Caenorhabditis elegans: one gene and its partners. The protein of the gene in region 3 interacts with the protein of the main gene of each other region in a pairwise test. Each region holds a gene or a part of one and is shown on either strand. Other genes may lie near its edges.

Region 1 (8,695 bases), 3.2 Mb from region 3:
TCTACTGGATTGTAGGCAGATTGCAGAACTTGTCAATTTGAGGTAAGATTTTAAGTTTTGAAAATGTTATCAGTCAAACTTGTGCTCTTATACATGGGAAAACTGAAAAGCTTCAGCTGAAATAGATACCGTAACAGATCAAGGAAGATTCGTAAATCTGCTGTTAAAAAAAATTTAGGCTTATCGCGTAAACTAAACTAATGTTTCCATTTTTGTGATTTTTCAATAATCTTACTATTAGTCAGCTTAAGAGCAGTATACATATTGTAGGCAGGCACGTAGGCAGGCAGGCATAGAATAGGCACGCACGTACCCTCTCGAGAATCAAATAATCTATTTTCAGACATCTATCCCTGAAGAACAACAAAGAAGGAGTTCGAGACGATTCACTACAATTGATCATCAAGAATTGCTCAAAGTTGGAAGAATTATCGCTTGACTGTTGTGAATATCTCACTGTGAATTCGTTGATCACTTTGGGAAACCTCAACAATTTGAAGCAACTTTCCTTACCTGGAATTGTAAACGTCGATGATTCGGTTTGCTTGCAAATTTCAAGATGCTCGAAACTCACATATTTGAATATTAACTTTTGCAGAAGGGTGAGTAATTATTAATGGTTTTTGAAACACAAACAAAATGCAACTGTGAAAACAAAAATGGCAATATGCAAACTTTTTCCGTGTTTCGTAAAGTTCTGAATTTAATGACATATTGTTCACTTAATATACCTTTAAAAAGAGAAGAGCTCTAATAGCAGAAGTTTGCAAACTGCAGTAAGAAACTTTATCAGTTTCTTTCGAATCATCAAAAGCCGTCACTGTACTCGATGCTCCTACCTAATATGAGCTCCTAAACTAGAATAGCTCAAAAACATAATTGCTCTGATAGCAGAATTTTGCAAACCACAAGAGCCTTTATGAAGTTTTTCAGCAAAAATTATTGTCATTTTAATAAGGAACGAACCTTTTTTTACATTTCTGTATAAGTTTTGGATAAAAAAAGTTGGATTATCATATTGAAATAAGCCGGTTTGTGCGTTTGCCGAAAACAATCGCCGCACAGCCCTGTCCTCCACCAACTTTAAAAGTTAAATTGGACCAAAACGTTATTTCTCATCCCAATAATTTCCAGGTTCAAAAACGCGGTCTTCTATGTCTTCTCTCGTGTCTCACCTCTCTCGATCACCTTGAAGTCCTCGGAATCCGTGCCTACTCTCATCACCTTCTCGCCTTACATATCAACTTTCCAAAAACCATAGTCTCAGATTATGTCGAATCAATATCCATCATAATTCCACCTATTCCTCCTCCGATCCCTCCATCAGCTATTGTCAAAGCCTAGCAATTTGATTTCTGTGTTCTCCCCCCAGTCCCTAAGCCCGGTTTCAGAATTTTCAGGTAACGAATATCGCATTAAAAAGTCTAGTCATTTTCAGCCTTATTTTCCCCGGATTTCTTTTAATTTGTTAACTTGTTTAGATGTATAAAAAACGTATGTTTATATTGAAAACTATTTTAATCCAAGTACTTGACTGTAAAAAAAATAATGCTGATCAGAAAAATTAGCGGGAGCAGGAACATCGCACTGAGTTGAGCCACCACCCAGTCGTAATTCATGACCATCGTCTGAAAAAAAAAAGGATTTTTGAGCTTTTAGATAAAACATTGGCCTGCTAATTTTAGACATTTTCAAGTACACTTTCTTGAAGTGAAGTTTGCAATATGGAAAGAAAATTTTGAAAATTAAAAGGTGGGAGTTTTATTTTATTTTTTACATTTTGGGCTTTTTGACTAACTGTTGCGGTATTATAGAGGAACTGTAGGGTTGCTGTAGAGCTACTGTAGATACGGAAATATGTTTCTGTATGACTACTGTATGATTACTTCAGGGTTACTGTATGATTACTGTAGAATTACAAGAGTATCACTACAGGGTTATTGCATGGCTTGTAGTTTTTGAAAAAAGATTAAAATGTTCAACAAAAAAATTGATTGCAAAAAACCGTTAAAAAGTATATTATTTTAATGTTTTTAGATCGAGTCGGAAATTTTTTTCGAAAAACAGGAAAAAACCAGAAAAAACTAGGCTTCTTGTTTTTCAGGAAGGTATTGAAAAACGACATGAACCCGAAAGTAAAAAAACATTTTGGAAAACAAATATTTTTTCTTCGATTTTAAGAAAAGAAAACCGAAAAATAGACACATCTTGGCTTTTCTGTTTTTTTTTTTAATCTGAATGTTCATATTTGTAATTTTTGAAGGAATATAATTGAACCCCAAATTTCGTCTTTTCAATGAAAATTAATCTGCCAAGCAGCCTCTAATAAATGCCGAGTGTACAGACTCCGCCCCTTTTTCGCGTTTTTTCGCGTTTTTTTTTGGCTTGCGAAAAAATGTCACACACGTTTTCATTCACAACTCCTGAACCGTGTGACTTCATGCTCTAATATTTGAAATCCTACTAGAAATATTTTGCCCCACGGTGGAGCAGAAAACGACACTAAGTTCGGAGCAAAATTGAGCCCAGGGCGGCTTTCCCCAGTTTGAAAAAATTTTTTGTTGCTCTTTTTACCCCCAAAAAAGCATGTTTTAATTGAATTAAAATTCGGGTTTTGCTCGGTTTTGTTCCAAATTTCTGTGCAAGATACTACTCAGAGAGACTGATTTTTTGAAAAAAAGTTTGAGTTCATAAGTGCAAAAGAAAAAAAGTTGTGATAAAACAAAAGGCCAAAAAATGACATTTTGCCAAAAAAATTTTTTTTTCCGAAAAAGTAGTTTTTCGTCTTTATCTCAAGTTCTACTTCATCTTTTTTGATATTTTTTTTTTTACACCACGTAAAAAAGTACGCTGAACACGATTTTTAACTCAGAATTGGAAAAAGTTCTATGAGTCGGCCGAGCAAGACGAATAAGTGCCAAATTTTGCACACTTTCCCATCTTTGCGAATCTACTTTTTCAATCATAACTCGGTCAGTTTTCAAGTTTTCTTAGTTTTCTAAAAAATGACGTGTAGGTCTCATCAAGACGCATCGAGACATATAAAATTTGTAAAAAGTTCAGTGGGAAAATTTTTCAAGAAAAAAATAATTCAAAAATTTTGTACTGGGAGGAGTGGTTTCCTGGGTCCCCTGAACATTTTTTCCACTAAAGTTTCGCGGAATGTATTTTTAATTCATAGTTTTTGATTTTATTTAATGGAAGATGAAGTTTCGTCGCGTTAGCAATGCTCTGCCAAGAGATATTATTTTTTTTAATTTTCAGGCTAAAACTTGTTTTTTTCTATACATCTGTCTGTGTACAAGATATAGCCCTCAACTATACGTCTCCTTTTCGGGAATTCAATAATGAGTACAATCCTGTAATAAAATTTTCAAAAATTAGGTTTTCCGCTGACTTATCAGTGATAAACGGTTTTCGAACGTCTTCCCCAAATAGTAATAATTGAAGAAAGCGGAATCGAAAGACGACTTCCTCCAGAAAATGTTCTTCCCTACATCCCAGTTTAAGGTGTCACCCGCATGGCCGAGTGGTTAGTGCGTATGACTGCAGAAATTTTGGTTGTTGGTTCAATTCTACCAAGTGTCAATTTTTTTTTGTTTTTTGTGAGTAATCGGGATTCGAATAGAAATACTCAATTTTATACAAAATATGGGTACGTCTCCCCTAATATAAAGCCTCCTCAAACTTCAATCAATCAAAACTCAGCTTTAACTGATTCATCGGGTGCATCTGTTTTTGGTCAAACCGAACTCAAAAAACAAGAAGACTCCCATTGACCTACTGAAATTTTCACAAACCCTCTAACAGGTTCGAGGCGAAGTCGAGAACCTACGCCCGGCAAGGGGACTCGCCTTACACCCCTACAACTGGCGGGCCCGCAGGGCCCGCTAGTCGAAAACCCCCTTAAAAACTGACCGGATCCTCATAACACCTATACCGACACAAATCCTCCTTAACACAAACGAGTCCTTCTCCACAATCAGTGTTCAAATCGCATTGTTTCCAATGCTTCATCACTTCTTCTCCATTCAAATTCAATTGTCCTATCACCCACAAATTACCTGTCTCGTTGTGACAGAACATGAAATTGTATTTGGTATCCACTTTTTCCGTCGAAAAACAGTCCATGTTGGTTCGAAATGTCATACTTCCGAATGTCAGGTCGGTTGGGCGAGTTATTTCTGGAATTTAGTGTGGAATTAGAATTCAGTTTTTTTTTAAACTTACTTGGTGGGCAGCTATACCCCTTGTAACAGAGGCCACCACGTTGATCACTACTTCCAGAATACACCATTCCCTTTTCGACGTCTTTACACTTTTCTTGGCCATACAATGGAGTTATTCTGTCAGGACAAAACGGCGAATCAGCGGCTTTTGGGTCAACTGGAAATGTCTATATTTTAACTGAAATTACACGAAGAGGGTTACAAACCATTGCAGCAAAATTTGGTCTCAAGATCACACCAGCCACTGTATCTCTCCAAGGATGCTGTACAATCTCTTGATCGGTTACAAGGTTTGACAGGGGTGTCCGGCATGCCGCCAATGCAGATTTGTTTGGCTGAAGATAACAAGGTAAAATAAAGTTTTATTGCCCCCGGCATCTCTTGGGTTTTTTTAACCAGGGAGGTGCCGGGCGCTGTCTCTCTAATTCCTTAAACTCACTATCCTTGACACATCTCTTTTCGCTAAGCCCGGTGACATTCATACACGCTGCGAAATTTTTTGGGCAATCGGATAAAACTGTGCATTTTGGACTAGACGATAATGAAACTGAAATCCTTATAGCTTTAGTTAAAATAGAAATTAGGTAACACTCACAGTTTCCAGATGCCTGAGAAAATGGAATCAGGAAAATTACAGCTAGTATCATAATTGATAGTTTTAACGGAGAAATAATTTTCGAAAGACGGTGTAAACGTGGAAGAAAAATGGGGAAGTGGTTTTTTTTTTCAATGTTCACGTAAAACGGAGGCATGGATTAAATCGTGGACAAATTTATATTCTGAAAGAAGTTGACTGAAATTCAAGACCTAAAGTTTCAGGCTGTGTGAGTTTTTAGAAAGTATGGCTTTTGCTTTTTTCTTAGCTAAATGAAAGTTACATGTACCAACAATACATACGCCCACAGTAACCTTATAGCAACGCTTTGTAACCCTACAGTACCACTACAATAACTCTACAGTAACTAAACAGTAGTCTTACAATAACCGTACAGTAACCGTACAGTACCCGGTTAGTAAGCCTACAGTAGCACTACAATAACCATATCCCTTTATTAACTCTATACTAACCTTATAGTAATCCAGCTGAACCACTACAGTAATCCTGCTATTTTGTTCATCGCGGTACTCAATCAATGTCGGCTGCACAGTAGGTTCCCGCAGGTATACGCAGCCGACATTGATTAAGGTTTACGATGAAACACTCGTTCCCACGTATCTCTTGCGCCTCTCCTATCATACCTTTTTCGAATTTCAGGCATTAGGGGTACTGTAGATTTATTCTGTTGCAGTTGTAGGTGGCTATTTTAGTATATTGAGTTATTTATCAGAAACTCCCACTAGTACTTCTTGCACGGTCGAATAGTTTTTCATATTGATATTGAGAATTCACCCAAATATACGTGGCCATCTTTCAAAAATATATAATTTCATCATATTTTTATTCCAAAATATTCCAAGTATATCTGTTCTCAAAACCAACCTCATTGTTCACATATAACAACGTCACCAATTTCAATCATCAAAATTCACAAAAATAGAATTTTGAGGTGGTAATAATCCGCGTATTTTTTTTGTATAAATAGGAAAAGTCTGAGTAAGTGAAAAGGAATTTTTGATTAATTTTTGGTTATTTTGTGTCGTGTGTATGTGTGGTCGCCGATATAATTAATTTGATACGTTTTTTACGATGATGATGATTGCCCAATTTTGACAGAATATTTTAGCATGTTTTTGTTATGCCTACAAAAATTTCCAATTTTATGCGTTTTCTTATCCTGTGAAAATCTATCTCTGAAAATTATTTTCCTATTGGTGCACCTTTAAATGTAGAATCTGTTTAAAACCGCTCCTATAGTTCTGAAATGCCCAAATAGCAAGTAAAAGGTTTCAAATAATTCTTGAAATTTTTTGAAATTTTCAGTCAACGTTTTTGCAAATTTCCTAATTTATAGAAATTTGACAGAATTCAAATATAAAATTCGTACTTTGATTTTTTTTTTTTCGGTTGACACTCAAAATTATGAGCCACAATTTTTCACTGAAATTTTTAAAAAAAGTTAATGGGTTTTAATGAAATTGTTTGTGTGCAAAATCGCATTCAATTTAGCCGGTGAGGTGCTAAAAGGGCGAGTGAAGAGGCGCTCCTTGCGCCTCCGCCGGGATTAATTAGGTGTAGGTAGAGACCTTAAGGCTGCCTGAATTTTTAGTTTCCACAAACGATTTTAGTTCTGTGAATATGTTTTCAACAATCGCATACATATTTGCTATGAATTTAAGTTTTTTTACAAATCCAGGAAAATTTTCAAACTTCCAGAAAACATTTAGCGAATTCCGACATTTTTGTTTCAGAATACAATAAATATTTTCTTGATCTCAGGATTTTTTTCACGAGAAAAAAATTGATTCCAGAAAAAATCGTTTTGTAAAACTCCAGATAGCCATTTACCTAGACCTAGTTTTTACAATTTGGCATTCTCATTTTTATAAAATTGGATATATTCCATCCGGCCCGGGTGGCAAGGAGGTGGTTGCCATGTGGCCAGAAAAGTCGAGCCCACGTGGAGTGTTTAAAAATTTACTTCTTAAACTATTTTTGTCAAAATGTCAAAAACTCCTTTCACCGACTCATATTTTATTTTCGACAAACAATAGCTACCCAAGAAGAACATCTAAAAACAACCCTGCTCCTCTAATCCCTCAAACTATACATAGTTATATCTTTTCAAGTCAAATCTTGAAAATAAAATCTTAACTATCACCTATCTAACTGACCACAAATGCTACTTCACCTGAAAAGAGCAGGGGATTTCAAGCATGTCGCGCTTGTCCAGTTCATTACCAAAAGAGCATAGTAAACATTGAATGACGAACATGCATTGTTTCATTGTTTAAAGCTTTTCCCTAAAATATATCTATGAATCACGTAATCAAATACGTCTATGTCACTTGGAGCATAACACCTCGTGAGCTTAAGTGAGCTCCGCCTCCATATGTCTCAGAGTTCCCTTTTCTTTATAAAAACTGTTTCCTCATTGTTCCTTTCGCCCATAACAACTATAGGTTTCTCCTTGGCAATTCAATTATTTTTACGAATTTTCGCCGTTTTTTCTCATATAAATTATTTTTTTAAATGTGTTCTGATCGTTTGTTCGGCACGCTAGCGTTGGCTCTCATATTTTGTGGCTCAAATCTTTTTTATGGGCGGAGCCTATAAGGATCCGCTTACTGTGTTTCTAAGATTTTGGTGCGAAATTAATTTTTTTTTTTCAAAAAAGAATTTCGTAAAAATAGCTTTTATCACTCAATTTTGTTTTTTTTGGCACATCACAATGGGCGGGCCAGGTCCAAACCACTTTATGGGCGGAGTCTGCCCGTCTTATTCATTCTCCTTAGCTTCATGATCTTGGCGCGTGAAATTTGAATTTTCTTTCAAAGTTTTTTTTTCTGAAAATTTTTAGTTTTGTCTGAAAAAACAGTATTTCTTTTTCATATAATTTTTTCAAAAAATCCAAACTGTTTTACATACACTAAGGAAAATATAATATTTTGTCCCACCCACGCTCTGGGCGTGGTCCTTCAAGCTCCGACCTTTTTATAGGCGGGGCTTTGTTGGTCACGCCTATTTTTCTGTGCCGCTGAATTCCTCCAATCTTTACAATTTGAAACAATTAACTCATATTTGCCGACACTTTTGAATTTTTTCAAAATTTTGTTAAATTTCCCTAAAACTCCCTGCTAACTTTACCGCTTTTGCCCCTCCCCCCCCCCCTGTCCAAAAAACACTTGCAGAATATTTAATAAGGTTCATTCTCCTGAAAGAAAACCTGCGCCACACAAGTTTTTATTGTTTTCGGGGTCGCTTTGTGTGCTAGAACTTGAAAGTCATGGCAATTGATGTCACTTTTTAATATTTTTAATCCTCCGGTATCTTCTAATAATAGGTTTTTACTTTTTTGTAGAGCCAAGAGCCACTTGGTTTTTAGTTCAGTTAATTTTTGAACATGTTCTAGGTCGGAAAATCTTGAAGATGTCCCCCCTCTACTACAAAAAGGAAACTTTTCTACACATTCATAGTAATTTGATACATTTTTTTTGCATACCCTCACCAATTCACTATTACTTTTTAATCTTCATCTCCGCCCCCGTGTGCAAGTGTTTTCCAAAAGAGGAGACCTCCTTGTGGTAATAAAACTGAACGGACTTTTCCAAATTTTTATTATTGAAGAATTTCGACACACAAGTTCATTTTTACTTTTGGAGCACCGAAATGACGTGGCTTTTTTGTTTTAAGGACGGCAGTATGTTGATGAGGTTTAGACTAATAGGAAACGACTTACTATTAGTCTTGAAAATAGACAATTTCGTTTGGATTTTTGTGTTTGTTTTATATTATGCGGGCAAGAATAAAAAGGCACGCCTGCCTATTGCCCCCGAGATTGCCGGCTGGGTGAAAGAGGGGCGAAGGC
Region 2 (10,515 bases), on a different chromosome or scaffold from region 3:
AATACTCTTTTGGTCAAACAAAGTTAGAGCAGAGGAAGTAGAGATGTATAACTATATGATAATCAAAAATCAACAAACCTTGTGCATTTTGTCGCAAGATATGGTATTTGCGTACTTTTGGGGCTACCGTACTGCACGAAAGTCAAAAAAGTTCTGATTTTCGCCGATTTTCACTACAAAATCCGAATTCCTCACTATTTTTTACCCCTGTCCATTGATTTTCATAGATCGGATTCTAAAACCGCTAAGTTGTGCATTTTGTCGTAAGATGTGGTGTTTGCGTACTATTGAGGCTACCTGCGAAAATCAAATTATGAGCTAGTGTTTCAGAAAAAATGTTTCAAGGGTAAAAAATTGCGGAGAATTCGAATTTGATAATAATTAGCAAAAAATTCCAGTTTTGAAGAGTGAATTTTTAGATTTTTTTGTTCCTAGTTTCACAATTTCCTATTTTTTTTGATATTATACAACAAATTGGCAAATAGATTTCATCTTTAACCTCCACACTTTGAACTTGACACTAATCGTTTATCAAATCATTTTGGTAGACACGAAGAACATGTGTCAGGAGACGAATGTTTGGAAGATGGGCATATTTTGAAAACATTTTTAAAATTTTTTTTTGTGTGGGAAAGTTTCATTGAATCAGGGCAGATGGCAGGCACACGCACTTTTGTTTATGGGTCTCGCCACGATTGTTTTAACAGGTAGACATGTGTGCCTACAAGCTACAATATACATGCAAAAGCAAAGACAATAAGCGGTAGGTAGGTTAGCATTAGGCATAACTAGGGCAGGTATAAAGTAGGCAGGCGCTCGGCAGGTAGGCATAAAGTAGGCACATAAAATGAACATAAACACATAATAAAACTGCGGTGGAAAATGATCCATATCGAATAATTCTTCTTCGATTGCTTCCTTCATTTAGCTGAGAGGGGGTATTCTTTCTCTGTCTTTCTTATCATATTATCACTTTGATTTCTCTGTTCTTCCCCTTTCTATCTCTCTTTCAAATCCATTTCCAATCGTTTACGATCATAATTATTGACTTGCGAAGCCAAGAGGAGGCTGTAACAAAAGTTGGAAGGGCGGATTCATCGATGATCGACGACAGCAATTTGGAACTGGAATGGGAACTATTTGAATCGGGTGATGATGATATGATGGGGAATACGTATAGTTAGAGGAACATGTATGGGTATTGTTGCGTACATGCATACCTTATGATTGCCTACATGCCTACATGAAGGGCCTATCTCAAGTCTGCCGACATCCCTAACATCAACTGGCTGCATATATGCTTATCTGAAGCCGGCCTGCCTACCTGTTCGCCTGCCTATCTTGAGCCTGTTTGTCTATTTCTTACTGATCTTAAACCTACCTACCTCCCAGCTTGCCGATCCATCACATCGAAGCTGCTTGTTAGCTCGCCTGCCTGCCCACCTGCCTGCCTACCTCCTGCTCGTGCTTTGCTGTATTTTATCTATCAGAATTGAATAGCAAATAAATCACAAAAGTTCCAATTTCTCGATTTATTTCAGTTCGAAGTCATAATAAACACAATGGATACATAATTAATATTTTCCGCTTAAAACAAAAACTCCGATTGCTTCAGACACCGAGGAATGTGACGTCGCGAGCTCTCGGAATGCTAGCAGATAATTCCGAAGACATAACCTGTTTAGAAGATGGAACTGGAGAATCGATTCCAGTTCTAGCTAGAACCGGGTTGTTTTGAGGTTTGTCATCCTTCGGAGCCACTTTAGTTCCTGCATCAGCTGCAGCAGCTGGACCCGGTGTCTTACTCTTAGGCACATAATACTGGACAGTGGTGTATTCCTTGTATCCTTCAGCTTCCATGGTTCGAGATGACCTCATTTTGAATCCTTCGAAAGTGTTGTCCATAAGGAAGGAATGGGCTCCGGTTGTGAGGAATGTCACTCGAGGCGGTTGTTTTTCCTCTCTCTGAAAATTCCATAAATTATATGGAAATGCATGCCTGCCTGCCTACGCCTGCCTTATGTCTACACAAGTACCAACTGAGTTAGATACGGTCGTCGGTAGACGTTTTCAGACTACAATCGGAAATAGGCGGTAGGCAGGCACGTAGGCAGGTACGCAGAGTTGAGGGGGGCACGTAGACTTTGAGGCATACTTGTATAAGTCACGTAAATAGGCAGCCAAACTTAAGGTAGGCACAGGCAGGCATGTTTGAGGTGCCTGCCTGACTTTAAGGCCCACCCCTCTAGTACCCAGGCCTGCATGAAAAGCTCAACAAACCCAAAAATGTTATTCCTAAACCAGCCGTGGACCGCACCTCCGGCGCGGCCCCCGACTTCTGGGGCTGAAAACTAACTTTTCTGAAACTACCGTAACCCTACAGTATTCCTACCGTACCACTATTGTACCACTACAGTACCCCGACTATATCCCTACACTAACCCCAACTCACTATCCCCACAGAAGCCAAAACTTCACAGACTACAAAGACTACATAGACTACAAACTATGGACACACAGAATAAGCGCTTTATATATAGTAAATGAAATGGTTTCGAAATTTTCAAAGGCTGGTGCAAATGCGCGTAAACTTCTTTCCAGACCTACAGTATACCGCATGCCTGCCTACGCCTAGCCAAGCTTACATGAAATTCGGATCTCCAAATCGACTTGTACTTGCACTCCTTGGAAGCAACGAATCGAGCGAAAACCACCATCAGAAGTTGCTGAAAATACACAAAATTTTATGTGTCAGCTCATTGTACAAATAGGCAGCAGGCAGGTTCGTAGGTAGGCGTGCCTGCCTACAACTCAAGCTTCAGACTCACCATGTACTGCTCATCTGCTGCCTGATCCTCAACATCATCATTTGCCGGCTTCTCGCCCCACGCCGGTGAAGCATAGTATCTCTTGAGCTGAAAGCAGAGGTTTTTGAAAAATTCCAATTCGAATTCAACGTACCAAATTCCGATGCACAAAATGAGCAACTACAAGAATCAAATTAAGCGGTGGCGGAGCCGCCATTTCCCACGAGAGAAACTCGGAATAAATAGCTGCTCGTGTGAATTTGAACTCCATTTCCTCATTATCCAACACCTCATCAGCTCCTTTCACAAGTATCGATGTCATCAAATTGAGTACTGTAATTATCAGAATTCCGTGATAAACAGCAGCGAGAATTTCGAAAGTTGACGAGTTCAAAGTATGTTTCACAGGATCCATGTTTGGACCAGTGTTTCCAACAACTGTAGTGAATGTTGAGGGTCCCAAGTAACCGAAAATTGACCAGAACAGGTTTTTAGAGGATGTTCCAATTCTGAAAATATATATGTTGTCTCAGATAAAATATAGAAAAAAAGAACTGACGTTTCATAAGAATCCGTGGTCTTTGTATAATCCTGATCTCCTATTTTCATGGTACTTCGATTCAAGTATGGGTCGACGATAATATTCAATCCAACAGAAAACGAAACGATGATTGCGACCATGATGAGTATGTATGTGTACGTCTTCCCAACACATTTTCCGACAGATATCTGGAAAAATTAAGTTTACTGTAGGACTACTGTAGTGGTACTGTAGGATTACTGTGATATTACTGTGGAACGAGTGTAGGATTACTTTAGGATTACTGTAGGACTATTGTAAGATTATTGTAGTAGCACTGTAGGATTATTTTAATTTGGGAACAACTTAGTATTAGACATATGAATGAGTAGTGTAGGAGGACTGTAGGACTACTGTATAACCACTGTATACTTGCTGTAATGGCACTGTAGGACTACTAGGATTACTGTGTTGGGCACTGTAGTAGTATTGTAGGGATACTGTAGCGGTACGATGACTTGAAAATATTCAGTTTCCCGCTGCCAAAGCACACACAATAGACAGTAGGTAAGTATCTGGGCAGGCTGTCTGCCTATGTAGCTCAAGAGACTTTTTTTGTTTTTGCGGTCAAAACATCGAATTCTACGCGCAAACTCCACTTACAACAGATCCACCGATTGATTTCATCATCTGAGCATAGTAAAAACATTTTAAAATACTCAGCACACAGGCGATCGCAAGACATATCTCATGGAGAAGTGAGAATTCGAAAGATGGCTGAAAATTTCAACTAATTAATTATTCAAAAGATTTCAGCCGAACCCAGTGCATTCTGTCAACGGAACTCGGATCGAAAGCTTCTCGTTTTCCCCATTTTCCAGTAAAAAATATCAGTGAAAACAAGAAAATAAAGATCAAAGCCGCATCGAACCATCTCCACCAGAAGGCAAAAAATCCATCTCGTCCGACTCTATAGAATAGAATTCCCTTCTCCAGAGCTAATCCCATCACATAGGCGTACATGAAGATTTCGAGTGCTTGTACAGTTACTTCAACTGAAAAAATTTCAATTTCACAAAAAATGTTGTAAGCTTAAGCCCGATCTTAAGCCGAAGCCTAAGGTGAAACCTTAAGCCTAAGCCTACGCCTAACCCTAAGCCTAAGCTTAAACCTAAACCTAAACCTAAGCTTTTAACTATGAAAATTCAAAATCCACTTACTACTATCAGTCCATGCAAAGTAGAAACCGATTGTTGGACGGAGAATTGCGGCGATGAGGAAGACCAAGTACATTGTGATGTGAGCAATGAATCGAGCAAGTGGAACGCACATTGTTGTACCCTTTGTTGGCATAAATGCATGAAGCATCACAAGGAATGGCATCAGGATACAGGCTCGCAGAAAACGCCAAGCATCTCGTTTTGGCTTGATTCCATAGTTGTACCAGTCTGAAAAGTGTATGAGGTCAGCTATAAGGCCATTAGAAAGTCTATGGTAGGTAGGCACGATTACGCCTCATCATCGCCTACGGCTCGCCTCAGGACTTCACCCTCAAAAACAGTTACCTGATCTGAAGACAGACTTAATAGTTGTCTGTGAATTGGTGGAGCACGTGAATTGTCTCATTTGAGAATCCATAGCCATTTGAAGACGCGGTGATGAGATTTCAGTCATTCTTTCCGGGCAGTAGTTTCTCTGAAATTCAATTTAAATTCTCCCAATATCTAAAATTTAACACAAATTCTTACATTAGCAACCATCATATTGAACTCGTCGACTCTCCATGCTTGATCTGAAATTCTGCACAAAAACCGTTGCACATTCATCTCGAGGTCTCGATAGGTTTCCACGTATTCCAGCTGATCATCGCTCGCCAATTGTTGAAGGTCTCGGGCGACAGCACACGTGGCAGCGAACACGTCATCAGTTGCCAGCCACAGGTAGGCTTCAGAGGACAGTGCACGCATGACGTCGACGAGGCGAGTTGATGAGTGGGTTGTTACGGTTTCCCGTTTGCAGGTTTTGCATTCACCTGCAACACTTTACCATTTTTGCGCGTAGAATATGGTGCATTCGGTCCTACCGACGCATGTTCGCTCTTTTGCAATGTTTGCGCGTCAAATATGATGTTTGAACTCACAAGTAATGAAATGTGGTATCTGAATACAATGTCCTCTAGTTATAAGACACTGAACAATCGAAAAATTATTCAAAATGCATGCCAGCATCAGTGGAGTCATATGTGGTGGAAAATGTGGAGAATTAGCAGATCCTGAAATTAGTGTGATGCAAATGCGCTTTAATACAAACTTCCTCACACTTACCACTTCTTTCAAGGTATGGTGCATCGACGAAAAGTACGAGAACAAACTCGACTAGTGGACGACTTCCGACGGCAATCGATAATAGAAGAGCTTCCTGTAATTCAAAAGGGCGTTACAGGACGTAGGCAAGCGTATGTGTTGTAGGCGGGTGCAGGCTATCATAGGTGGATGTAGGCAAAGTAGGCGGTCGTAGGCGGTCATAAGCGAGTGTAGGCGGGCGTTAGCAAACCTTACCTGGTCTTGAGAGGTCTTTCAGGGGTGTAGGCCGGCGTACGCGGACGTAGGCGGATGTAGGCGAGTGTATGCGTTGTAGGCGGGTGCAGGCGTTCGTAGGTGGATATAGGCAAAGTAGGCGGGCGTAGGTATGCGTAGGCGGACGTACGCTTTCGTCGGTGGATAGCCAGCCTTACCGGGCCTTTAGGCCTTTAGGCGTTGGCTGCCGTATGCGGGCCGTTATCGGGCCATTAGAGGGTCTTTAGGGTGTAGGCGGTAGGTGGGCCGGCTTAGGCCGGCCTTTAGCGGTCTTTCAGGCGTTGACGAACTTTAAGAGATTCTTCAGAAGATGTATCCATTAGAAGACTTTGAAGAGAAGAAAGGCGACCATCGTCCGGGCCATGTGGAAGCAAAATGCCCAAAAAAGATCGTACTTCAGAGTATAATTTGCTTTTCACAGCCTTATAGAAGTAGGCCATGGCTTGCAGAACCTGAAATTTATCTATTTGTCCTGTAAAATCTGATAAAGTCCTGCGTACAACTTGATCATTTTCATGCCATTTCTGATGACCATCGTATCCTTCATTATTGTCTGCGTCTACACCTCTATATTTTCCAAGATACTCTTTTATTGCGCTGAAAAAATGTAAATTTGTTGATGAAAACTTGGGTCCTGACACGAGCGAAACATCTCGTCTACAGTACCCGATGGTTGGCGCCGTGGAAGAGGTTTCGCACGGCCATTCTCCCATTTCCAAGGATCCTTGCAAGGCGATTGAAAGCACTCACCTTAATTTTAGCCTCGTAGATTCCTTCTTTTCCTTTCCCACCATTTTTGGAAAACGAAAACCTTGAAATAAATATATTGATTTTTTTTCACTCCGACATTTTTTTCCACGTATCCCTCCCCCCTCAATCCAGAATATAGCGGCGGTAGAAAAAAGTTCACGCCAATTCAAAAATTAAAATGTTTCGTTTTTTATTGGAACACGGGAAACTTTTTTTTTAGTTTATCTTTTATATTTTTCAAAATCTAGATGAACGCAAACGCGCTCCACCGTACAAACCGAAAATTGCCCAGTCAGGAGATTTTCAATCAAACTACTATTCAGTACTAGAAAAAAGAGAGCATTTTCTTGGGCTCTATAGCAGTGACGCGCACAGTAACATGATCAAATTCTCCAGTCTCTTCAGTCTCAGTCATCTTCTGCGTCTCGATGGCCACATATGGTGCAGGTGTACGAAATCGCTGAATAAAATAAGATACTTAGAATGAACCGTTCAAGCCAAGAAGAATGCCGCCCCAAAGATCGCTCAATACCAGCAGATCATCGAGACCCTTGGATCCAGTTAAATCCATGAAAAATCTGGTTTGTTTGAGATAATAAAATTGTTTACAATCCAATCCAAAAAATTATTAAGAAACTTTATTTTATTGCCATAATCAATTTACTATATATAAAGCGCGTGTCGTTCTGTCCCTATGTAGTTTGATCTTTGATCTTTGGTCTTTGAACTCTGTAGTTTGTAGTCTCAATCACACAAGAGGGGTCACATAGGCCCCGCCCCTTTTGTGACGTCATCACAAATTGGCGGGAATTCAAATTTTCTGAGAAAATATTTTGGCGGGAATTCAAAATTTTAAATTTTGAAAACATTTTGGCGGGAATTCAAAATTTAATTTTTTGAAACCATTTTGGCGGGAATTCAAAATTTAATTTAAATGTGTCATATCAATTTAAAATGTCAAGGTACTGTAGTGTTTTAGGGGTACTGTAGGATTACTGTAGGGTTACTGTAGTTTAGGAAAAATTGATTTTTAAACATTTTAAGAGGTATTGGCTTGGAAGTTGGTAGATGGTAATGTCAAGGTACTGTAGTGGTACTGTAGGGGTACTGTAGGGGTACTGTAGGATTACTGTAGGGTTACTGTAGTTTAAGGAAAATTGAATTTTAAACTTTTGAAGAGGTGTTGGCTTGAAAGTTGGTGGATGATAATGTCAAAGTACTGTAGTGGTACTGTAGGGGTACTGTAGGGGTACTGTAGGATTACTGTAGGGTTACTGTAGTTTAAGGAAAATTGAATTTTAAACTTTTGAAGAGGTGTTGGCTTGAAAGTTGGTGGATGATAATGTCAAAGTACTGTAGTGGTACTGTAGGGGTACTGTAGGATTACTGTAGGGTTCCTGTAGTTTCAGGAAAATTGAATTTTAAACTTTTGAAGAGGTGTTGGCTTGAAAGTTGGTGGATGATAATGCTAAGGTACTGTAGTGGTACTGTAGGGGTACTGTAGGATTACTGTAGGGTTACTGTAGTTTAAGAAAAATTGAATTTTAAACTTTTGAAGAGGTGTTGGCTTGAAAGTTGGTGGATGATAATGTCAAGGTACTGTAATGGTACTGTAGTAGTACTGTAGGATTACGGTAGGGTTACTGTAGTTAGGAAAAATTTGAGTTTTAAGCATTTGAAGAGATATTGGGTTGGGAGTTGGTAGATGATAATGTCAAGGTACTGTAGTAGTACTGTAGGATTACGGCAGTTAGGAAAAATTTGAAAATAAAAATTAAAAAAAGATAAAATTTTGGCGGGAATTCAAATTCTAATTTTTTGAAAATAATTTGGCGGTTATTGAATTCCCGTGGAATTCACCTTTCGTGGTGAGACCCATCGTGGTGAGACCCGTCGTGGTGAGACCTTTCGTGGTGAGACCCTTCGTGGCGAGACCCATCGTGGTGAGACCCATAGTGGTGAGGCCTTTCGTGGTGAGACCCTTCGTGGTGAGACCATTCGTGGTGAGATCCATCGTGATGAGACCTTTCGTGGCGAGACCCATAGTGGTGAGACCTTTCGTGGTGAGACCCTTCGTGGTGAGACCCTTCGTGGCGAGACCCATCGTGGTGAGACCTTTCGTGGTGAGACCCTTCGTGGTGAGACCCTTCGTGGTGAGACCTTTCGTGGTGAGACCCTTCGTGGCGAGACCCATCGTGGTGAGACCTTTCTAGGTGAGACCATTCGTGGTGAGACCCATCGTGATGAGACCTTTCGTGGCGAGACCCATAGTGGTGAGACCTTTCGTGGTGAGACCCTTCGTGGTGAGACCTTTCGTGGTGAGACCCTTCGTGGCGAGACCCATCGTGGTGAGACCATTCTAGGTGAGACCATTCGTGGTGAGACCCATCGTGGTGAGACCTTTCGTGGCGAGACCCATCGTGGTGAGACCCATAGTGGTGAGGCCTTTCGTGGTGAGACCCTTCGTGGTGAGACCCTTCGTGGCGAGACCCATCGTGGTGAGACCCATAGTGGTGAGAGCTTTCGTCGTGAGACCATTCGTGGTGAGACCTTTCGTGGTGATACCCGTTGTTCGTGGTGAGACCTTTCGTGGTGAGACCTTTCGTGGTGAGACCCTTCGTTGCCAGACCCATCGTGGTGAGAGAGATTCGTGTTTGATATCATGTTGGCGGGAGCTGAGGAGTTGGTGGGGGATGATGTCAAGGTACTGTAGGGGTATTGGGGAATTACTGTAGGGTTACCGTTGTTCAGGAAAAATTGACTTTTATGCTTTTGAAGAGGTGTTGGCTTGAGAGTTGGTGGGGGACATGCTAATGTCAAGCTACTGTGATATTTTTTTAGCTGCCAGAATGTTCGAAAAAGTAATAGTTTCAATTTTTTCATGTGACATTGATAAAAGAATATTTGGTGTTTTATGTGTCGAACACTTTAAATTTTGCCAGTCGTTGGCCGCGCCGTAGGCGCGGTCAGCGGCTGGTTTTTAACATAAGAGATCAAGTATCAACCTTCTCGAAAAGAAACAAGTGCCCGATGGTCATGGCTGTCCAGTTAATTGGGTGCTCGTAGATTTCGGTTTCTTTATCGTCGTTGTGTCGCGTCCAGTAGTCTCCATGACGAGTCCAAGAGATTGCATGATACTCGCCACCACCACACATCTCCACTTCAACGAATCCGACAAGCTTCAACTTGTTCCCCAGAAAAATGTTTGGCTCTCTTGGGTCCAACAACCCCGTGTCCTGGCCCGGCCTTCTGCGGATGTTCACCAATAGGAACTTCGAATTTTTTAGCTCGACCCGCCATTCCCTTTGTCCCAGAAAGTCACCCTCGACTGTGTGCTTTTTCAGGCACTTCTGCTCTTTACTCGCTACTACGTCTAAGAATGTTCTCCTCTTGCCCAGTGTGTATTCCAAGCAAGAGGTTCGTTTCTCTATGGACAGCTGGTATTCTCCGCAGCCTCCGGTGTAACCCTTGAGCGTTGAGATCAGTTGGTAGCTGAACATTGAGCAAAGTGGTTCGTGGCGGGCACCACATTCAGTCGAGAGGTCCTAAAAGTTATAATCATATTAGTTCATTAGTATTCTGAGTAGTTTCTAGAACATGGGGTATTTATTGCTGTCAAGACTATCGATTTTTCGATTTTTTTAACAGAAAATTCTTGATTTCATGACGAAGTTTTCGATCTTTCTTCAAAATTATCGAGTTTTTATTTTTTGATTGATTGATTACCTTTAAATATTCGATTTTTCGTCAAAACGAACAAATTTTGATTTATCCATTTTCGAAAATGTCATTTAATTTTTCCAATAAATTGGAAATTTTCGATTTTATTTTGTAAAATTAAAAAACAACTGATTGTTTTGGA
Region 3 (5,639 bases):
TCAACGGTTTTTGCTGACTGAAGAAAACCCCCAAATCTCTCAAAATATGTATGCTTTTAAAAACATGTTCAGAGTCCATCATTCGTTTTCAAATGGATTTGGTAAGAAAATGAAATATTATCGTATTGGTGATCCTTTAGAAATGCTATCCAGTCCACACTTTTTCCCACACATTAAAATAAATTGTTTAAATCTCACAACATATATTCTTTCAGTGCAAAGATGAGTGTGCTCGAGGACAAAAGCAAACTCGTCGGGTGCACTGTATAAGCACTTCTGGTAAACGAGCAGCTCCACGAATGTGTGAATTGGCTCGTGCACCAACTTCGATCAGAGAGTGCGATACATCAAATTGTCCATATGAGTGGGTGCCAGGAGATTGGCAAACGGTGTTGTTTTCTAGAACTAAGTGAATATATAAATTGATATGTTTAGTGTTCAAAGTCATGTGGAGAAGGAGTACAGACACGAGAAGTCAGATGTCGTAGAAAGATTAATTTTAACTCAACCATTCCAATTATATTTATGCTCGAAGATGAACCAGCTGTACCAAAAGAGAAATGTGAACTTTTCCCAAAACCAAATGAATCTCAAACGTGCGAACTTAACCCATGCGATTCGGAATTCAAATGGAGTTTCGGACCATGGGGTGAATGCTCGAAAAATTGCGGTCAAGGTATTCGACGTCGACGTGTCAAGTGTGTGGCCAATGATGGTCGTCGAGTTGAACGAGTCAAGTGTACCACAAAGAAACCACGTCGAACTCAATATTGTTTTGAAAGAAATTGTAAGTTTTAAATTGACTCGAACATAGAATATTGTAAACTTTTCAGGCCTTCCGTCAACTTGTCAGGAGCTTAAATCTCAGAATGTTAAGGCTAAAGATGGAAATTACACTATTCTTCTTGACGGATTCACTATTGAAATTTATTGTCATCGAATGAATTCAACCATTCCTAAAGCTTATTTGAACGTTAATCCAAGAACCAATTTTGCAGAGGTTTATGGAAAAAAGTTAGTTTATTTCAGTAGATTTACAAATTTCTGTAATTGCGATTCCAGATTAATATACCCTCATACTTGCCCATTTAATGGTGATCGTAATGATTCATGCCATTGTTCAGAAGACGGCGATGCAAGTGCTGGATTGACGAGATTCAATAAAGTTCGAATAGATTTGTTGAATAGAAAGTTCCATCGTAAGTAATTTATACTGTACTTGAATTTATATGATCTGATTAATCTGAATTATTTATCAACAATTTAATACCCGTATACAGAAATTGAAACTTTCAGTGGCGGATTATACATTTGCAAAACGAGAATATGGTGTTCATGTGCCATATGGTACTGCCGGTGATTGCTACAGTATGAAAGATTGTCCACAGGGAATATTCTCAATTGATTTAAAATCTGCTGGTCTGAAATTAGTTGACGATCTGAATTGGGAGGATCAAGGTCATCGAACATCCTCTCGAATCGATCGTTTTTATGTGAGTTTTTGAAAACCTTAATTTGTTCAAAATCTATTCTATTTTAAGAACAATGCAAAAGTTATTGGTCACTGTGGTGGTTTTTGTGGAAAATGCTCTCCTGAGCGGTACAAAGGACTAATCTTTGAAGTTAATACAAAATTATTAAATCATGTGAAAAATGGTGGACACATTGATGATGAATTGGATGATGATGGTTTCTCTGGTGACATGGATTAATTTTTTCGATACCTAAAAGTGTCAAAATCTCGTATGAATCTCTACTTCTCTGGTCTCTTATTTCAAGTTTTTGATTCTTTTCTTTTTTTTAGTTTTTAATAGCATTACTTCGAATTTATTGTCATTCCCTCAATCACCTAACACTAGGTTTTCTACATAGTATGTTCCTTGAAAATGTTTCATGATCAAAGGTTACGGTACTTTTGACTGCGCCTTTTTTTCTAATCAAATATTGAAATTCGCTGAATTGTGAGATATATGGGGGCAATTTAGACATTCTTGAACAAAGTTTCTGAACAAAAAAGAAGCGGAAACTGTTTAAAATTTCTCGATATGTATATCCATCAATTTTGCGAATCGCTGAAGTTTGATTTTCCTGATCGATGTTTGCTCCTGTCCTAACTTCGCTAAGTAATTTAGTCTTATCGCAGGAGAATCTTTTTTGTTTTTATTTTTTAATTTGTTCAGTTCAATTACATACTCATTATAGCCTGAGCTTTAAATCTTTCCTTATTTCCAGTTGTTTTCTTTTTTTGCTTTCCTTGTTTTCTATGTTTCAAAAATCCTTGTTTTCCTATTATACTGCCTTTCCTTTTTTCACTTTTCCAACCCACCCGCTGCTTTCCTTCTTCCAGTTAATCTTTTTTTATTAATTGTTTTTTTTAGATATTCTAATTTTCAGCCAGCTTCTTCCTGCCGTTCCTTTCTTTTCTCTTTTTTTCTCTATTCCACTTTACCCACAAGTTTTTCATAGCACTGCATAATATTTATTAAACTTTAGTCAATTCAAATATTTTATTAAAATAGAGTAATAGAGCCTCGCCTTCTTCTGAACGTTATAATAAAAATATAAAATTCAATCGTGAAGTTTACGCTGAAAGAAAACATACAAAAATTAGAATTACTCGTGAAGCTTACTCGAATAACTTTTGGAAATATTCCAAACCATCCGAAAAATATGACTCCGACGAGAAGAACTGAGAAAGCAATCAAAGAAATTCCCCCAATAAGATCACTGAAAAAATACGATTTCCAGAGCATAGCTCACAGCTGCGAAGAATTTGAACTCACAGAGCCATTCCATAACAAATTGGACCATTTTCCCAGCTGCAGATGAACCAAATTCGGTTTCCGTTGTGAGTATGACTATTCGTCATTTTGATATTATAGCAATTTATGATTTTAAAATGTAAAAATGAAGTTTATTCACGCGTCAATTCCAAAAGTGCAACAATAACAACGAAAAAATGTTACAATATATCCAACAAAGTATTCAATGTGTAACGATATTTTAACAAAAAATTAAATTCCAAAACGTCCGTTGAATCCAGAATGACATCCGAATTCGGCATATGGATTTGATTCGGTTGATTGTGCTGGACGAGCAGGTGGCGGTGGCGCAGATGGCTGCTGAGGGATGGGCCCAAGATTATCCGATCTGGCAGGTGGATTCTGAGCAGAAAATCTAACTTTTTGTCCTCCGCGGCGATCTCGTTTTCGCCCTCTGTTCGAATCGAATCCTCTTGACATTTGACTAGCTGGTTGGGTATCTGAAAATTACTAGAATTTGAAAGTAAATTTCAATTATATCTTACATGTGGTGCGTTTAAATTCTTTCTCCGCTTCATCATCACTGAACTCCACGTCACTACCGATGCCAACCTGAGCCATCGTTTCACCAGCTTTTGCAACAGCTTCTTGATGATCAATGCGACGATTTAGGGATTTAATAGCATCCCTATTTGCTGCAGCAAGATTAAGTCCTTTGAATGGAGTTTTGGAAAATTGTTCTTCTGTAGGAGCATAATATACTTTCATGTCAATGGGTATCATCGATGCCTATAAAACTTCTGTTATATATTTTATTTGTCTACTAAAAGCTTCACCTCTTCACAAGAATTGAATCGAATAACGTATTGTGGATTTTTGACTTGTCCAAAAATGTCATAAATTTGTCCCAACGCATTTCCTTTTTGATCGAAAAGAAATGAATCGAAGTCGAGAACTTCTGTGCATGTTGAAATGATAACAACTGAAATACCAATTCAATTAACATTTTATATAAGGTTGACATTTTTGACAATTTACCTTGACAATCCACGACTTTGCTTACAAAACCAAATTCCAGCAATTGTCCTTTACATTCAATACTGAGATTCTCGAGTGGTGGCATATCATCATACTCGTGAACATTACGCTAGAAATCTAATCATTCGAAAAAACATTTCAAAATAATGAAACCTTACCGTTTTTTGTGACTTTTTTGGCTTCCGCTGCTTTTTTCCATTTTCATCCGGGTACTCTGACTTGTGTGTCTTCTCAATAATCTTTGCGGAAAACTTTACTAGCCTGTCAAACTCTTCATCAGAATCAAGTGCACCGGCTCGTAAATCGTTGATATTTTCGAAATCGCTATCATCTCCAGAAAACTCAAATTCACTTTCAGTGTCGCATCCGAAGCTTTTCAATGATGGAGCCTGGCGAATTTCAGTAGGATTCACAACGGTGATAGGATCAACAAGATCCAAAAGTTGATCGACGATTCCATCTTCTGTCTTCATTCCAATTTTTGCGGGAAGTGTTGGTCGAGCACAGAAAGCAAGTGGCACAGGATTTCGATCGATAGTCTAAAATATGGAATATTTTTGGAATTTAAAAGGAAAACATACAATTGAATCATCCAGATTTTCGACTTTAATTGTTTCTTCCTCCATTCTTGATAATATTTTTGCAATGAGTGTAAATAAAAGAATTAACCTAAAAACGAAATAAATTTTTTAATTGAAAAAATTTTTGACGCGAAATCGGAGTGTCGTTTGTTAGTTTGTCATTGGAGCATGTTTGCATTTCACTGATTTCTCTCATTTTTTTTTTTGAAAACATTAAAAAATATATTCTAAATATCATTTTGGCATCTTTAAGTGGAAAATTATGTCGGAGGAAACAATCGAAAAATTTGAAGATAATGTGGAGCATCAAAATCAAGACCAACGTGAGTTTTCCGTTGCATCAGTATGTATTGAATTATAATATTCCAGCAGTACCAGAGGGAATGTCGAAAAAGCAACTGCGACGTCAAAAATACAAGGTGAAATGGGAAGAAAAGAAGTTAGTCAAACGTGCAGCGGAAAGAATTCGAAAAAAGGAAAAACGAGCAGCGCTGAAAGAATCGGGAGATCTTTCAAAGTTGAGGAAACGAAAAGATTTCAGAACAATGGCTCAGTCTAATAGCAAGGTAATATACGATTCCAGTAATTTGTTTAACATTAACTTTTGAACATTCATACAGTAAAAATGTTTTCAACTGGTAAAATCTGACAATTTCCTTAGACTAAAACAACTTTTTAGCAACGAATTGCTTTGGACATGTCATTTGACGATTTGATGATTGAAAAGGATCAAAAACGTACAGTTCAGCAAATCGGATGGTGTTATACTGCGAACAGACACAGTCCTGATCCATTTCAATTTCATGTTGTGGGGTTCGATGGACCATCGAGAAAAGTAATTTTGTTTTCGCACAACAAGTGTTTTAATTGGTTTTGTTGAGATTTATGATGGTAATGAGCACAACCTGAATCAAGACATCCATCTTCACCAAGAAAAATTGGAAAATTTATTTAAACCAGAGGAAATAGTTTATTTGACTTCTGAATCTGAAAATGTCCTGAGCGATCTTGATGATACGAAAGTGTATGTAATTGGAGGAATTGTGGATCATAATTCTCAAAAAGGATTGTGCTATCGAATCGCTCAAGAAAAAGGATTTGGTCATGCAAAATTGCCTTTAGATGAACATCTTCTCATGAAATCTCGACGGGTAATCGGTTTCCATATTTTTGTCCCATAATATTCTTCTGATTTCAGGTACTCACTATCAATCAAGTCTATGAAATTCTGGTTCATTACTCTGTTCACAAAAACTGG

The links. The genes of interacting proteins can lie anywhere in the genome.
Region 1: the proteins of spe-29 (region 3) and spe-43 interact in a two-hybrid assay, tested with the Caenorhabditis elegans proteins (one study listed by BioGRID).
Region 2: the proteins of spe-29 (region 3) and spe-41 interact in a two-hybrid assay, tested with the Caenorhabditis elegans proteins (one study listed by BioGRID).

What each region holds. Positions count from the first base shown.
Region 1 is NC_003282.8:13,137,479-13,146,173, forward strand, and holds spe-43 (uncharacterized protein), read right to left. Parts: upstream 4,877-8,695; coding exon 4,825-4,876; intron 4,777-4,824; coding exon 4,669-4,776; intron 4,565-4,668; coding exon 4,436-4,564; intron 4,387-4,435; coding exon 4,231-4,386; intron 4,185-4,230; coding exon 3,919-4,184; intron 1,629-3,918; coding exon 1,518-1,628; downstream 1-1,517. Other genes in the region: B0564.9 (F-box domain-containing protein), read left to right, coding at 1-42, 344-602, 1,135-1,344.
Region 2 is NC_003281.10:3,437,494-3,448,008, forward strand, and holds spe-41 (Transient receptor ion channel domain-containing protein), read right to left. Parts: upstream 6,715-10,515; 5' UTR 6,698-6,714; coding exon 6,654-6,697; intron 6,501-6,653; coding exon 6,404-6,500; exon of another isoform or gene 6,356-6,403; coding exon 6,194-6,355; intron 5,746-6,193; coding exon 5,652-5,745; intron 5,600-5,651; coding exon 5,468-5,599; intron 5,360-5,467; coding exon 5,076-5,359; intron 5,023-5,075; coding exon 4,893-5,022; intron 4,776-4,892; coding exon 4,548-4,775; intron 4,383-4,547; coding exon 4,150-4,382; intron 4,105-4,149; coding exon 3,991-4,104; intron 3,537-3,990; coding exon 3,367-3,536; intron 3,317-3,366; coding exon 2,962-3,316; intron 2,916-2,961; coding exon 2,829-2,915; intron 2,727-2,828; coding exon 2,646-2,726; intron 1,966-2,645; coding exon 1,612-1,965; 3' UTR 1,518-1,611; downstream 1-1,517. Other genes in the region: K01A11.3 (USP domain-containing protein), read right to left, coding at 9,647-10,198.
Region 3 is NC_003282.8:9,931,140-9,936,778, reverse strand, and holds spe-29 (uncharacterized protein), read right to left. Parts: upstream 2,900-5,639; 5' UTR 2,870-2,899; coding exon 2,784-2,869; intron 2,728-2,783; coding exon 2,631-2,727; intron 2,587-2,630; coding exon 2,569-2,586; 3' UTR 2,457-2,568; downstream 1-2,456. Other genes in the region: gon-1 (Peptidase M12B domain-containing protein), read left to right, coding at 216-389, 436-787, 834-1,014, 1,063-1,199, 1,297-1,493, 1,542-1,712; F25H8.2 (H/ACA ribonucleoprotein complex non-core subunit NAF1), read right to left, coding at 3,015-3,262, 3,308-3,551, 3,599-3,744, 3,801-3,909, 3,959-4,339, 4,382-4,426; trmt-10A (tRNA (guanine(9)-N(1))-methyltransferase), read left to right, coding at 4,644-4,704, 4,751-4,947, 5,061-5,216, 5,263-5,532, 5,580-5,639.